Linked DNA regions of Pelodiscus sinensis. The protein of the gene in region 2 purifies or fractionates together with the protein of the main gene of each other region. This does not show direct contact. Links are inferred from orthologs where the notes say so. Each region holds a gene or a part of one and is shown on either strand. Other genes may lie near its edges.

Evidence for each region. The genes of interacting proteins can lie anywhere in the genome.
Region 1: the proteins of GPN1 (region 2) and POLR2E purify together in Homo sapiens (affinity purification with mass spectrometry; 3 studies listed by BioGRID and IntAct, with this or other methods). This does not show direct contact. The link is inferred for Pelodiscus sinensis from reciprocal best matches to the Homo sapiens genes GPN1 and POLR2E.

What each region holds. Positions count from the first base shown.
Region 1 is NC_134729.1:16,562,475-16,569,655, forward strand, and holds the start of POLR2E (DNA-directed RNA polymerases I, II, and III subunit RPABC1), read right to left. Parts: upstream 3,082-7,181; 5' UTR 2,980-3,081; coding exon 2,923-2,979; intron 1,299-2,922; coding exon 1,124-1,298; intron 277-1,123; coding exon 161-276; intron 1-160. UniProt on the Homo sapiens protein: DNA-dependent RNA polymerase catalyzes the transcription of DNA into RNA using the four ribonucleoside triphosphates as substrates.
Region 2 is NW_027465901.1:118,039-125,389, forward strand, and holds the start of GPN1 (GPN-loop GTPase 1), read right to left. Parts: upstream 3,011-7,351; 5' UTR 2,898-3,010; coding exon 2,811-2,897; intron 2,692-2,810; coding exon 2,598-2,691; intron 1-2,597. UniProt on the Homo sapiens protein: Small GTPase required for proper nuclear import of RNA polymerase II (RNAPII). May act at an RNAP assembly step prior to nuclear import.

The sequences.
Region 1 (7,181 bases), on a different chromosome or scaffold from region 2:
TCTTTTTTTAAAGAGGACAATATTAGGCAAAAAAGTTAATCTCCAGGGCACTGACCACTGGGCATTTGGTACCAACTCTCCCCCCTCCCACCCAAGGCTGTGTATCTCCTGTCCCATCCTAGCCACTCCCACCCAGCCCTTACGTAGGATCATTGCCTACCTGCTTTGCTGAGGGGGTCATGCCCTGCTGTACCACAATCAGAGCCCTGGTGATGTTCTCCTCCTGCATCCTCTGGCAGTACATCTTGATGGTCTTTATCCCGACCTTGGGCTCCTCTGAGGAATAAATAAGTCACAACACAATTACTCCTGACTGTCAGAAGACTGCATTTTAAGCACCTTTGTTCTGCACCTGGTCTCAGAACAACAGTGCTAGCACATCTCTATTCTTCTCCTGGGTTTCTAAGAGCCTCCCCTTTGTCATGACATGCTGCTGCTCTTCAGAGTGCAGGTATCATCTTGCACTTCCAGAAACCGCAAGTGCAAAGTGATTCACCACAGCGGTGCAGCTGGGACTCCAGAAAACAGAACTGTTTTCATTACAAGCTAGCTGGTTCAGAGGCCCTATTGGGCATTTGCCACTTATCCAAATGTGATAGACTGTACTACGCAGCACCAAGAAAAAGAATGAACGACAGAGAGCGGCTACATAGCCAAGCGGCCAAACAACCCTGCTATAAATCGCTCAGGATTGTAGCCTGGCTGTTCAGCCTAGTCAGTCCGTACTTAGCCAAAATGTTCATTGGCTTCAAGGGACGTTTTGCCTCCATAATGCCAGCAAAGTTAGGCCTCTAAAGCAGATAGCCAAGCTGGCTGGAGTCAAGAGCTCCCAGGAATTTTCTAGGAACAGGCAGGCCTTCTGACAGACCCACACGATAAGTGGCATGTTGAATGGTGCTGAACTGATCTAACTTGGGCCACCCAACCTGGGATTAGTTCCCAGAAACCCAGCACTTCAGAACCGATGCTCAGAAAGTTAAGCCACCCCCTCCATGCAGTTTTTGCAGCTAGTTAAAAGAATCGGTTCTAGGCTGGCACTGCATCCAGTGAGAGCTGCTGACACCCATGGAGAATAAGGTTCATGTTTACACCTATCCTCAGTCTCTCACAGCACCATACGCACCAGGAAAGAAGACAAACATCTGATCTGTAGGATCATCATTATGGGCCACCAGCACCGTCAGGTCAGTCCGCCGTGGTCTCCCTTCACTGGGCTTGTCACCAAATTGGGCTTTAAACTCTTCCAAGGTCTGATCCAACTCATCCTGGGTCACCAGATAGCCCCGATCGTGACACAACTGAGGACAACAATCCTGTTTACTCGTGATGCATATAAGACACAGATGCAGCTTTACAGTCTCCCTCCGCCCCACCCAGCAAATCCTCCCTCGTTCATGTCTCCCCACTCCCAGAGGCTATACCAAGGTTGTCTGGCAGCTTCCACTGATCGGCCAGTCTTTTGGCTGTTTGGGGTTAGGCTATCGTGTCTGCACAGCACCAAGCACAACAGGGCCCAGCCGGCTTGTGCTGTGGAGGCAGGACAGCAAGATACATGCTGAATGTTATTAACCGTCATCACCGCTCACCTGCCCTACCTGTTTGAGAAAACACCTTCTAGGAGCTCCCGGGTCCCGCAACAGGGACCAGAGTGCAGCCAACAGCTGGCTACTGCTAAGCCCTCGTGTAACCCACCACGGGCCCCCTGCAGTGCCACCCAGACCACGGACAGCCAGGACCCCGGCTGGAACCCGCCCGGTGCTGGGTGCACTTGGATAGCGCCTGGTGCCTCGGCCCTGCTTTCCCCGCAGTCAGCCCCCAGCAGTGCGGGCCTGCACCCTGCCCAGGACCAGCCCCTCCCTCCGCAGGGAATCCACTAAGGCCTCCAGCCCCAAGGGGGTGTTCGGCTACGCTCACCCACGGAGAGCGGAGCAGAGCAGGACAGAACCCGGCCCCCGCCCTCGCCCCCCGCGCGGGCTCGGAACCCCCCCCACACACACACTCCCCCCCGCGCGGGCTCGGAACCCCCCCCCCCACACACACACACACCCCCCGCGGGCTCGGAACCCCCCCCCACACACGCACTCCCCCCCGCGCGGGCTCGGAACCCCCCCACACACACACACTCCCCCCCCCCGCGGGCTCGGAACCCCCCCCCACACACACACTCCCCCCCCCCCCGCGGGCTCGGAACCCCCCCCCACACACACACTCCCCCCCGCGCGGGCTCGGAACCCCCCCCCCACACACACACACACCCCCCGCGGGCTCGGAACCCCCCCCCACACACACACTCCCCCCCCCCGCGGGCTCGGAACCCCCCCACACACACACACTCCCCCCCGCGCGGGCTCGGAACCCCCCCCCCCACACACACACACACCCCCCGCGGGCTCGGAACCCCCCCCCCACACACGCACTCCCCCCCCCGCGCGGGCTCGGAACCCCCCCCCACACACACACTCCCCCCCCCCGCGGGCTCGGAACCCCCCCACACACACACACTCCCCCCCCCGCGGGCTCGGAACCCCCCCACACACACACACTCCCCCCCCCCCGCGGGCTCGGAACCCCCCCCCACACACACACTCCCCCCCCCGCGGGCTCGGAACCCCCCCACACACACACACTCCCCCCCCCCCCGCGGGCTCGGAACCCCCCCACACACACACACTCCCCCCCCCCCCGCGGGCTCGGAACCCCCCCACACACACACACTCCCCCCCCCCCCGCGGGCTCGGAACCCCCCCCCACACACACACTCCCCCCCCCCCGCGGGCTCGGAACCCCCCCCCACACACACACTCCCCCCCCCCCGCGGGCTCGGAACCCCCCCCCACACACACACTCCCCCCCCCCCGCGGGCTCGGAACCCCCCCCACACACACACGCCCCCCCCGCGCGGGCTCGGAACCCCCCCCCCACCTGCATGATGGTTTTGCGGATCTTCCAGAGCCGGTAGGTCTCCTCCTCGTCGTCCATGGCGCCCGCCGCGCGCCGAACGAGCCACTGCGCAAGCGCCGACGCAGGCCCCCGCGCAGGCGCAGACCTGCCCAGTAGAGGTGTCCTACACACACGCCTGATACGGACGGACACACACACACACTCACACACACACACATCCCCCCCCCTTCGCTGCTTCCCAGGGCTGTGTCCGTACAAAGTCACGGTGACACCAGGTGTAATTATGTTGCCGCAAATAACAGGCACAGAGTAGTCACGCACTCAGGCGGCAGGGGTCTTTGCGAACAAAGGATGCTGGGAGTTGTAGTTTCCTAGCCTACTGCTGTAGGGGACTTGCAGCCTTGCAAGTGCATCACTTGGGACCAGGACGCTAGAGCTCAGGGCAATTGCACCTGTATTCCCCTCCATGCTCCTGCAAGGCCATGAGCAGTAGCTAAGAGGGGCCTGTGCCACACCCCTGGGAAACTGGGATTCGTCACTCTGGGGCTTATGTCCCTGTGAAATGCGTGTTCATACTGCACCAAATCACACAATCGATTGCGTTGATGGCCTCGGGGATCATGTTTTGAGGTTGGGAATTGAAGAGAGCAGATGCATAACTGCAAATGCATCAGGGCTGGCCGGTGACAGGGGCGCGGCACTGTATCTACTTGGGAAACAGAGCCATCAAGCACTCCCCAGAGAGCTGGGGGCAGCATGACCACATGGCCACAAAGTATTTGCTTGTCTACACGGCCTGTCAGCAGCCAGAGACAAGGAGCCTTATTCACATGAGAGACAAACAAAGGCAGGAGGGAAGCAGTGTGTGGAGAGCTGACCTAACCTCCATGGGGGATGGAGGCTGGCATCCCAAGAAGGGTTCCTGCCTCTTGAAGCAAAGTCAAAGTACGTAGAGAGAGGCTTTTCAAAGGTTTATTGGGCTATAAAGGGAGGGCAGAGAACCAGAGGGACTCAGGAGGCCTGAGCCAAGGGGTTGAAGTCTCAGGAAATCGTAGCAGGCAAAGATTGCAACTGGCTGATGCCGAGTATTAGTCTGAGACGCATGTTCCTGTTTGTATTTGCTTGTAGCCATTTCTAACTCCATCCTTCACACCTGAACTCACTTAAAATCCTGCCTCCTTTTGTTAATAAACCTCTTTGCCTTTTAATCTAAACCAGGCCAGGGCTGTGTTTGAACTGAAGCAATCGGGTAGAGTAATAAGCTATGCAATCTGTCTCTTTAGAGGAGCAAATTAACCTTATTATTCCTTTGAATGATCCAGGAAAGGTCTGGACACCTTGGGGAAATTCAGGCCTGGGAGGGTACTAGGGGTCACCTTGGCATAAGGTAACTGCGTGATAGAAAGCAGAGTGGCGCAGGTGTGTTGCAGGCCAGCTGCTGGAATCAGGGTGCTGAACCAGAGTTACAAAGCACAGACCCTCAAGGGATCGCTCGCTTGTCAGCTGGCTGTTGGTGTCTGGGCTGTGAGCCACAGTAGCAGACCATCTGAAGGCACCCAGAGTAACTGGGAAGGTGACACTACCCCACACTGGTCTGGATTGTACACCGCAGCATGACCCATGTTTTCCTGCTGCAGTGTGATTTGTTGCATCAAATTACACCGTGGAGAGGGACGAGCCTGTCCGTGCAGGCGCCAGAGCTCTCAGGAACTGCTCTGAAACTGTGGGGTGAACCCCCGGGGAACACAGGATCATCCCAAACCTCCTTCTGCTCCGCCTTTTCTAACACAAACACAGAGCCGCACAGACATTTGCAAGTGACAAAACCAAACCCCTACATTCTATTGCCCATGCAATTCTCCCCAGGGAGAGGACAGAGAGAGAATTAACGTTAATTGCATCATTAAACCATGCCTGGAAAGTGCTCAGATAGCACGGTGATGTGGGGTGGGAATGAGAACCTGTATAGCATAGAATACAAAATGTACAGCTCTGGACAGGGCAAATTCAGCTCCTATGATTTCTCCCACTCAAAGGAAAAGTGGCTTAGAGGCAAAGCACAAGCACGCCTCTATTGGCTGTGGCCAGTTTAACTTGGGAAAGAGTATTTCTGCCTCCCAGCAGGAGGGTGGAGCCAGTTTTTCAAGTGCCGGTTGCTTGGTTTTGATGCCAGTTTTGAGCGTCTCAGCTCTTGACATATGATCAAAGCGCCTTATCATGGCAAAGCCAAGCTTGCAATTTCTCACACGCCTCATATCAAAAGCCCTTTGATGGGGGATTTGACGCAATTTTGAGAGACAAGACCAATTGGCAGAAGCAGAAAGAGAACCCTTGACAAGCATCCCATGCTACTGGGTTCTTTCTTACGCTTTCATGCTGTGATCCAAAGCTACCAGTCAGCCTCCCTCCCTAAGCACGCACTGAAAATGTTCAACCCAAGGCCCTGGGCTCTTCCAACTTGCATTATTCTTCCATCTACCAGTTGCAGAGCGGATGCCTCCTTGGTCCTCCTTTTGTCCTGGCAGAGCAGGGCTTAGAAAGATCTGAACAGAAACAATCCGTGTTTATGAACTAAAACCATGTTCCATCTGCCCTTTGACTCTTTCTACTTCAGACTCCCACGTAGTATTAATCACAGAACCATCGCAATGTCCGGACCTTGAAAAGTCACCACCCCTGGCAGGTGCTTGTCCTACCTGTTGTTAAAATCCTCCGGTGGTGGGGATTCACAACCCGCCCCCTTTCCTCCTTGGAAGCCTATTGCAGAGCTTAACTGCCCTTATAGTTGGAGAATTTTTCCTCAACTCTTCCTTGCTGCAGATTAAGTCCATTATTTCTTGTCCTATGTTCACCGGACGTGGAAAACAGTTGATCGGCTGTCTCCTCATACCTGCCCTGAAGATATTGGAAGACTGTTATCAGCCCCTGCGCTCCCACTCTTCCTTTCACAAGACTAAGCATACCCAGTTTTTTTCAGCTTCCCCCATTGGCCACATTTTCTGAACCTTTTATCCTTGTATTTCCCCCTCTGATCAAATTGGAGAGAGTCTAGATCTTTTCTAAAGTGAGGTGCCCACAGAACTGAACATGGTGCTTTCGTGAGACCTCACCAGTGCAGAGTGGAAAGGGACAATTACCGTCCATGTCTTACATATGACACACCTGTTAATACACCCCAGAATATTAGCCTTTTTGTGCAGTTCTATCACACTGTTAACTCAGATTCAATTTGCGATTCTCTGTAGCCTCCAGATCCTTTTCAGCCATCCTGCCAAAGGCCAGGTCGACACGGCGGGAGACTGTCGACCTAAGAGACACAACTCCAGGTACGTGAATAGCGTAGCTGCAGTCGACATACTTTATGTCGAATTTCCATGGCATCCCCACTGGGAAATTTTCCCATCAGCGTCTCTTACTCCTCGCAACTCAGTGGAATATTGGAGGTGATGGGCACGATCAGTGGTTGATTTAGTGGGTCCTTACTAGTGATGCTAATTTGAATCCGAGGACATCAAACTCTACAGCGTCCATCTCCCAGTAAGTGGAGACAAGCCCTTAGCTAGCGAGTCTCCATTTTACAGCTGAGCCTTTGGTTTTTCCTACCTAAGTGAAGTCATTTGCACTTACTTAGAGACCCCCAGATTTAAAAGTCAGAAAGGACCATTATCTCTGACCTTCTGCACATCTTAAAGACTAACAAAACATGTAGATGGTATCATGATGTGGTTGGGTCCAGGGATGAAATTGCCAGTGTAGATGTATAGGCAGAGTTGGCACCGGGGCTGATTGCAGGGGTGGATTCCTGGCTGATTATGATGGAGGTGTGTCGTGTGGTGACTGGAAAGAATTTGTTTGAAGTTAGGGGATTGTTTGTAGGCGAGGATCGGCCCCGGCGCCAACTCTGCCCACACGTCTACGCAAGCTATTTCATCACTGGACCCAACCACATCAGCCACTGCATCCGGCTCATTGAACTGCACATCCACTAATGTGGTCTATGCCATCAAATGCCAGCAATGCCCCTCTGCCGTGTGTATTGGCCAAACTGGACAGTCTCCACGGGAAAGAATCAATGGACACAAATCAGATCTCCGAAAAGGCAACACACAGGAACACGTTAACCTGCCCGGGGAATTCATTAATGGGATCTCCAAGTCACTGTGTTGTTTCATGCCAATTCCACAAGCCAAATACACAGGGAAGGGTTGGAACTTGACTTTATTCACAAGTTTGATTGTTATCAGAATGGAATGAACAGAGAATCGGCTGGTTTGTGCACG
Region 2 (7,351 bases):
GGAGGAAGAAGAGGAGTTGTGGGGGACAGGAACAAGGGAGAGGTTAGTGGGGGAACAGGAAGGGGGACAGGTGGAGCCATCCCAGCAACTACTCTGTGCTAGGCCCCAAACATCATAGAGATGCAGAAACACAGGCCCCAGGGCAACCCAGAGGATGGGGGGGGGGGGGGGGGGCGGAAGAGAGACGGGCTGGTGCTGACAATAGGGGTCAGGCCTACTCCCACACTCACTGATGGAAAGCAGTGGTGCAACAGGGCCTCACCTCATTCTATTTTGCAGGCTCCCACTGCAGCACTGCACTCAAGAGTATGGGGGAGGGGCACTGGGGAAAGGAATAGGGGGATGGAGGGTGCAAGCAGGGTGCAAGAGCCTGGAACTTGGGGGAGGGGTATTGTCCCAACATCCCAGGAATGGCCCTGTAAAGCTGTGAGCTAGCTGAAAGATACGAGGGGGGGGGGGGGGGCGGGGGAGCTGACCAGAAGGAAACAGTGAGCAGTGCCAGTGGCTGGGCACATAAGAACAGCCGTACTGGGTCAGACCAAAGGTCCATCTAGCCCAGCATCCTGTCTGCCGACAGTGGCCAGCACCAGGTGCCCCAGAGAGGGTGGACTGAAGACATTTATCAAGCGATTTGTCTCCTGCCATCCCTCTCCAGCCTCTGACAAACACAGGCCAACAACACCATTTTATCCCCTGGCTAATAGCCTTTTATGGACCTAACCTCCATGAAATTATCTAGCTTCTCTTTAAACTCTATTATAGTCCTAGCCTTCACCGCCTCCTCTGGCAAGGAGCTGCACAGGCTGACTACACGCTGTGTGAAGAAGAACTTTCTTTTATTAGTTTTAAACCTGCTACCCATTTAATTTCATTTGGTGTCCTCTAGTTCTTCTATTTAGGGAACTAATAAATAACTTTTCTTTATTGGCCCTCTCCATACCACTCATGATTTTATATACTTCTATCATATCCCTCCCTCAGTCTCCTCTTTTCTAAACTGAAAAGTCCCAGTCGCTTTAACCTCTCCTCATATGGGACCTGTTCCAAACCCCTAATCATTTTAGTTGCCCTTTTGTGAACCCTTTCCAAGGCCAAAATATCTTTTCTGAGGTGAGGAGACCACATCTGTACGCAGTATTAAAGATGTGGGAGTACCATAGTTTTATACAGGGGCAGTAAGATATTCTGGGTCTTATTTTCTATCCCTTTCCTAATAATTCCTAGCATCCTATTTGCCTTTTTGACCGCCACTGCACACTGTGTGGAAGTTTTCAGAGAACTGTCCACGATAACTCCAAGATCTCTTTCCTGATTTGTCGTAGCCAAATTAGCCCCCATCATACTGTACATATAGTTGGGGTTATTTTTCCCCAATGTGCATTACTTTACACTTATCCACATTGAATTTCTTTTGCCATTTTGTTGCCCAATCACTCAGTTTGGTGAGATCTTCTTGGAGTCCCTCACAGTCTGCTTCTGTCGTGACTATCCTAAACAGTTTTGTATCATCCGCAAACTTTACTACCTCACTGCTTACCCCTTTCTCCAGATCATTTATGAATAAGTTGAAGAGGATTGGTCCCAGGACTGATCCTTGGGAGACACCACTAGTTACCCCTTTCCAATCTGAAAATTTACCATTTATTCCTACCCTTTGTTTCCTGTCTTTTAACCAGTTCTCAATCCAAGAAAGGACCTTCCCTCTTATCCCATGGCCATGTAATTTACACAAGAGCCTTTGGTGAGGGACCTTGTCAAAGGCTTTCTGAAAATCCAAGTATACTATATCTACTGGATCACCCTTGTCTGCATGTTTGTTAACCCCTTCAAAGAACTCTAACAGATTAGTAAGACAGGATTTCCCTTTACAGAAACCATGTTGACTTTTGTCCAACAAATTATGTTCTTCTACATGCTTCACAATTTTATTCTTCACTATTGTTTCGACTAATTTGCCCGGTACTGAAGTTAGACTTACCGGTCTGTAATTGCCAGGATGGCCTCTAGAGCCCTTTTTAAATATTGGTGTCACGTTGGCTACCTTCCAGTCATTAGGTACGGAAGACGGTTTAAAGGATAGGTTACAAACGACAGATAAATGGGAAATTGCTGAGCTATTGAGTTCTTTTAGGACCCTTGAATGAATGCCGTCCGGTCCCGGAGATTTGTTAACAAAGTTTTTCTATCTGTTCCAAAACCTCCTCTAACAACACTTCAATCCGGGACAGCTCCTCAGATTCATTACCCACAAAGGACGGTGCAGATTCGGGACTCTCCCCAACCTCAGCCATGAAGACTGAAGCAAAGAAATCATTTAGTTTCTCCACAATGGCTTTACTTTACAACCTGTGGTGGGCCAAAAGATGGGCCACCAGAGCTAGTGCTGCCTGTAGCTGCCTAACGTCCCATCCCTATGCATAACACAGTGCACCACTAAACTTAGGGCATCCCTATGGTGCCCTGCACAGCTGTGCACGCCTGGGCGCGGCGTCCGGCTCTGAACGAAGACGCACAGACACCGCAGAGCGCTGAGAAGACAGCGAACTGCACGTGAGGAAAAGCGCGAGACCCGCCCGAGGGCGGAGCGAGCGACTCACCGATGTTGGCAGGAAACGGAAGCTCGTGCACCGCAGGGTCCAGGTTGATGACGTAGGGCGGGCGCCCCTGGCTGTGCAGATGGGCGGTGAGCCTCTGCGGAGGAGAGGGCGATGTGACGTGACGTGAGTGACCCCCCCACACACACACTTTTCCCGTCCCCCCACCCCCGGAAAGCGGAGCCCCCGCCTCACGCGGAGCGCGAATCTCCTCACCTGCACCAGGGTGGTTTTCCCGGAGCCCGCCATGCCCAGCACCAGCACGCAGACCGGTGGGGCCGCCTCCTCCGCTGCAGCCGCCATCTCGCTACTGTCCCTTCCGCTTCCGGCACACAGAAAGGTGCTTGGGACCGGAAGCGGAAACGGCTCGCTCCAGGCTACTCTTCGGCCCGGATGTTCAGCGCTCCTACCCCGCGACAGCAGTTCCCCCAGGCGGCCTAGCACCCCGCCCTCTAGCGCTGCCTGGCCACGCCCCTCCAGCACCTCTCCTCGCAGCCTGTACTGCCCAGCCCCCTGCCCGGCCACACCCCCTTATCCCCCAGCACCTCCCCTCGCAGCCTGTACTGCCGAGCCCCCTGCCCGGCCACACCCCCTTATCCCCCAGCACCTCCCCTCGCAGCCTGTACTGCCCAGCCCCCTGCCCGGCCACACCCCCTTATCCCCCAGCACCTCCCCTCGCAGCCTGTACTGCCCAGCCCCCTGCCCGGCCACACCCTCTTATCCCCCAGCACCTCCCCTCGCAGCCTGTACTGCCCAGCCCCCTGCCCGGCCACACCCCCTTATCCCCCAGCACCTCCCCTCGCAGCCTGTACTGCCCAGCCCCCTGCCCGGCCACACCCCCTTATCCCCCAGCACCTCCCCTCGCAGCCTGTACTGCCCAGCCCCCTGCCCGGCCACACCCCCTTATCCCCCAGCACCTCCCCTCGCAGCCTGTACTGCCCAGCCCCCTGCCCGGCCACACCCCCTTATCCCCCAGCACCTCCCCTCGCAGCCTGTACTGCCCAGCCCCCTGCCCGGCCACACCCCCTTATCCCCCAGCACCTCCCCTCGCAGCCTGTACTGCCCAGCCCCCTGCCCGGCCACACCCCCTTATCCCCCAGCACCTCTCCTCGCAGCCTGTACTGCCCAGCCCCCTGCCCGGCCACACCCCCTTATCCCCCAGCACCTCCCCTCGCAGCCTGTACTGCCCAGCCCCCTGCCCGGCCACACCCACTTATCCCCCAGCACCTCCCCTCGCAGCCTGTACTGCCCAGCCCCCTGCCCGGCCACACCCCCTTATCCCCCAGCACCTCCCCTCGCAGCCTGTACTGCCCAGCCCCCTGCCCGGCCACACCCACTTATCCCCCAGCACCTCCCCTCGCAGCCTGTACTGCCCAGCCCCCTGCCCGGCCACACCCCCTTATCCCCCAGCACCTCCCCTCGCAGCCTGTACTGCCCAGCCCCCTGCCCGGCCACACCCCCTTATCCCCCAGCACCTCCCCTCGCAGCCTGTACTGCCCAGCCCCCTGCCCGGCCACACCCCTCCGCCCCCCAGCATCTCCCCTCGCAGCCTGTACTGCCCAGCGCCCCGCCCTCTAACGCTGCCTGGCCACGCCCCTCCGCCCCCCCAGCACCTCCCCTCGCAGCCTGCACTGCCCAGCCCCCTGCCCGGCCACACCCACTTATCCCCCAGCACCTCCCCTCGCAGCCTGAGGGCGGAGGGGGGGCGGAGGGGGACTGGGCAGTACAGGCTGCGAGGGGAGGTGCTGGGAGGCAGAGGGGCGTGGCCAGGCAGCGCTAGAGGGCGGGGGGCTGGGCAGTACAGGCTGCGAGGGGTGGTGCTGGGAGGCAGAGGGGCGTTGCCAGGCAGCGCTAGAGGGCGGGGCGCTGGGCAGTACAGGCTGCGAGGGGAGGTGCTGGGGGGCGGAGGGGCGTGGCCAGGCAGCGCTAGAGGGCGGGACGCTGGGCAGTACAGGCTGCGTGGGGAGGTGCTGGGGGGCGGAGGGGCGTGGCCAGGCAGCGCTAGAGGGCGGGACGCTGGGCAGTACAGGCTGCGAGGGGAGGTGCTGGGGGGCGGAGGGGTGTGGCCGGGCAGGGGGCTGGGCAGTACTAGCGCTGCCTGGCCACACCCCTCCGCCCCCCAGCGCCTCCCCTTACAGCCTGCGCTGCCCAGCGCATCTCTGCCTACCAGCGCTCAGCCACTGCCCGCCTCGCCGCCGCCAGCAGCTCCCCAGGGCAATCTAGCTTTTCTCTCCCAATCTGCACAGCCCAGCACCCCAGAATCTTAGCACTGCCTGCAGACACAGACAACCCCTCTCCACCTCCTAGTGCCACAGCCTTTCTCCCCTGTCCTCTTAGCACTGCCTTCAGGCACAGACAAATCCTCTGCTCCCAGTGCTACAGCCTTTCTCCTGGTCGTCTTAGCACCACCTGGGGGCACACTGACAACTACTGCTGCTCCCAAGGCAACAGCCCTTTTCAATGAATGCAGGTCTTGGATGCCCTGTATCAGAAGATAGTGTTCACCCTTGGGCAGAAGGTGTACATGGCATCAGATTGTATCCACAAAAGATACATGGCTCCATGGGCTGGCATCCTGCATCTCTCATGCCGCCTTCTGGCACACTGTCTGGTAAAGACTGGAGTTCTGCTATGGATTGTGGGGTCCTCATTCCTCCCAGGGAATTTTGAATCTGTGGGTGTTGAATTCCCAGAAATCCCTCAGTTCAATCCCATAATTTACTCTTATTTCTTGTTTGATTGTGCTCCTGAAACTATGGACACAACACTGAGCAGTGATGCTCTCAGGTCCATGTTATGGCCAGGACAAGGCATGCTCTTCTATTTCCAACCCCACCATGCTCAGAGACAGGGTATCAAGATGAGCAGCCAGCCCATGGCTAAAGGAGGAGGAGTTGCACTGTATGTAAGAGAGCAATAGAACTGCTCAGAGCTCCAGTATATAGAGGGAGAAAAGTCTGTTGAGAGTCTATAGGTTAAGTTTAGAGGTAGGAGCAACAGGGGTGATGTTGTGGTTGGTGTCTGCTATAGCTCACTGGATCAGGTTGATGAGGTGGACGAGGCACTATATGTGAAAAAAAATTAGAATCAAATGAAGTAAAAATCTTAAATGAATCAACATGTCCCATAGAATCTCTATGCATAGTAATTCTCTGCTCTAATAAGAATATAACAGTAGAGATCTATTATTGACCACCTAACCAGGACAATGATAGTGACTATGAAATGCTAAGGGAGATTAGAGAGGCTAACAAAATAAAGAACTCAATAATAGTGCGGGATTTCAATTATCCCCCTATTGACTGTCAATTATCCCCATATTACATGTCACCTCAGGACAAATTGCAGAGACAAAATTTCTTGATACCTGAAACAACTGCTTCTTGGAGCAGCTGGTACAGGAACCCACAAGGGGAGAGGCAATTCTCAATTTAGTCCTGAATGGAGCACAGGATCTAGTCCAAGATGTAACTATAACAGGACCACTCAGAAATAGTGACCATAATATAATAACATTTAACATTCCTGTGGTGGGAAGAACACTTCAGCAGCCCATGACTGTAGCATTTAAGTTCAGAAAGGGAAACTATGCAAAAATGGGGTGGTTAGTTAAACAGAAATTAAAAGGTACAGTGACTAAAGTAAAATCCCTGCAAGCTGCATGGACACTTTTCAAAGACACCATAATAGAGGCCCAACTTAAATGTACACCCCAAATTAAAAAAACACAGTAAAAGAACTAAAAAGGAGCCACTGTGGCTTAACAAAATAATAAAATAAATAATAATAATAAAGGAGATTGCCTATCTCCTAGAACCAGAAGGGAACTTGCAAGGTCATTGAGTCCAGTCCCCTGCCTTCACAACAGGACCAAGTACCATCCCTGATGAATTTTTGCCCCAAATCCCTAAATGGCCTCTGCAAGGATTAAACTCACAACCTGGGGTTTAGCAGGCCAATGCTCAAACCTCTGAGCTATCCCTCCCCCATGTAAAAGAAGCAGCAATAGATAAAAAGGCATCTTTTAAAAAGTGGAAGTCAAACCCTAGTGAGGTTAATAAAAAGGAGCATAAACACTGCCAAATTAAGTGTAAAAATGTAGTAAGAAAAGCCAAAAAGGAGTTTGAAGAACAGCTAGACAAAAACTCAAAAGGTAATAAAATATTTTTTAAGTACGTAGACTTCCAATAATCTGGAACCTTTGGGACCTAAGTGGTGCCAGATTATCGGATATGCTGGACTATCAGGAGGTACTATAAAATGTAGTGTAGACGTAGCCCAGGAGTACTGCATCCAGTTCTGGGTCCCCCCACTATAGAAATGATATGGATGCACTGGACAGGGTTCAACAGAGGGGACCAAAATGATTAGGGGGCAGGAGCACATGACCTATGAGGAGAGGCTGAGGGATTTGGGTTTATTTGGTCTGCAGAAGCGCGAGAGGGGATTTGTCAGCAGCCTTCAACTTCCTGAAGGGAGGTTCCAAAGAGGATGGAGAAAGGCTGTTCGCAGTAGTGACAGGTGGCAGAACAAGGAGCAATGGTCTCAAGTTACAGTGGGGGAGGTCTAGGTTAGATATTAGAAAAAACTATTTCAGTAGGAGGATGGGGAAGCACTGGAATGAGTTACCTAGGGAGGTGGTGGAAACCCCATCCCTAGACGTTTTTAAGCCTTGGCTTGACAAAGCCTTGGTTGGGTTGATTTATTTGGGATTGGTCTTGCTTTGGGCAGGGGGCTGGACTCCATGACCTCCTGAG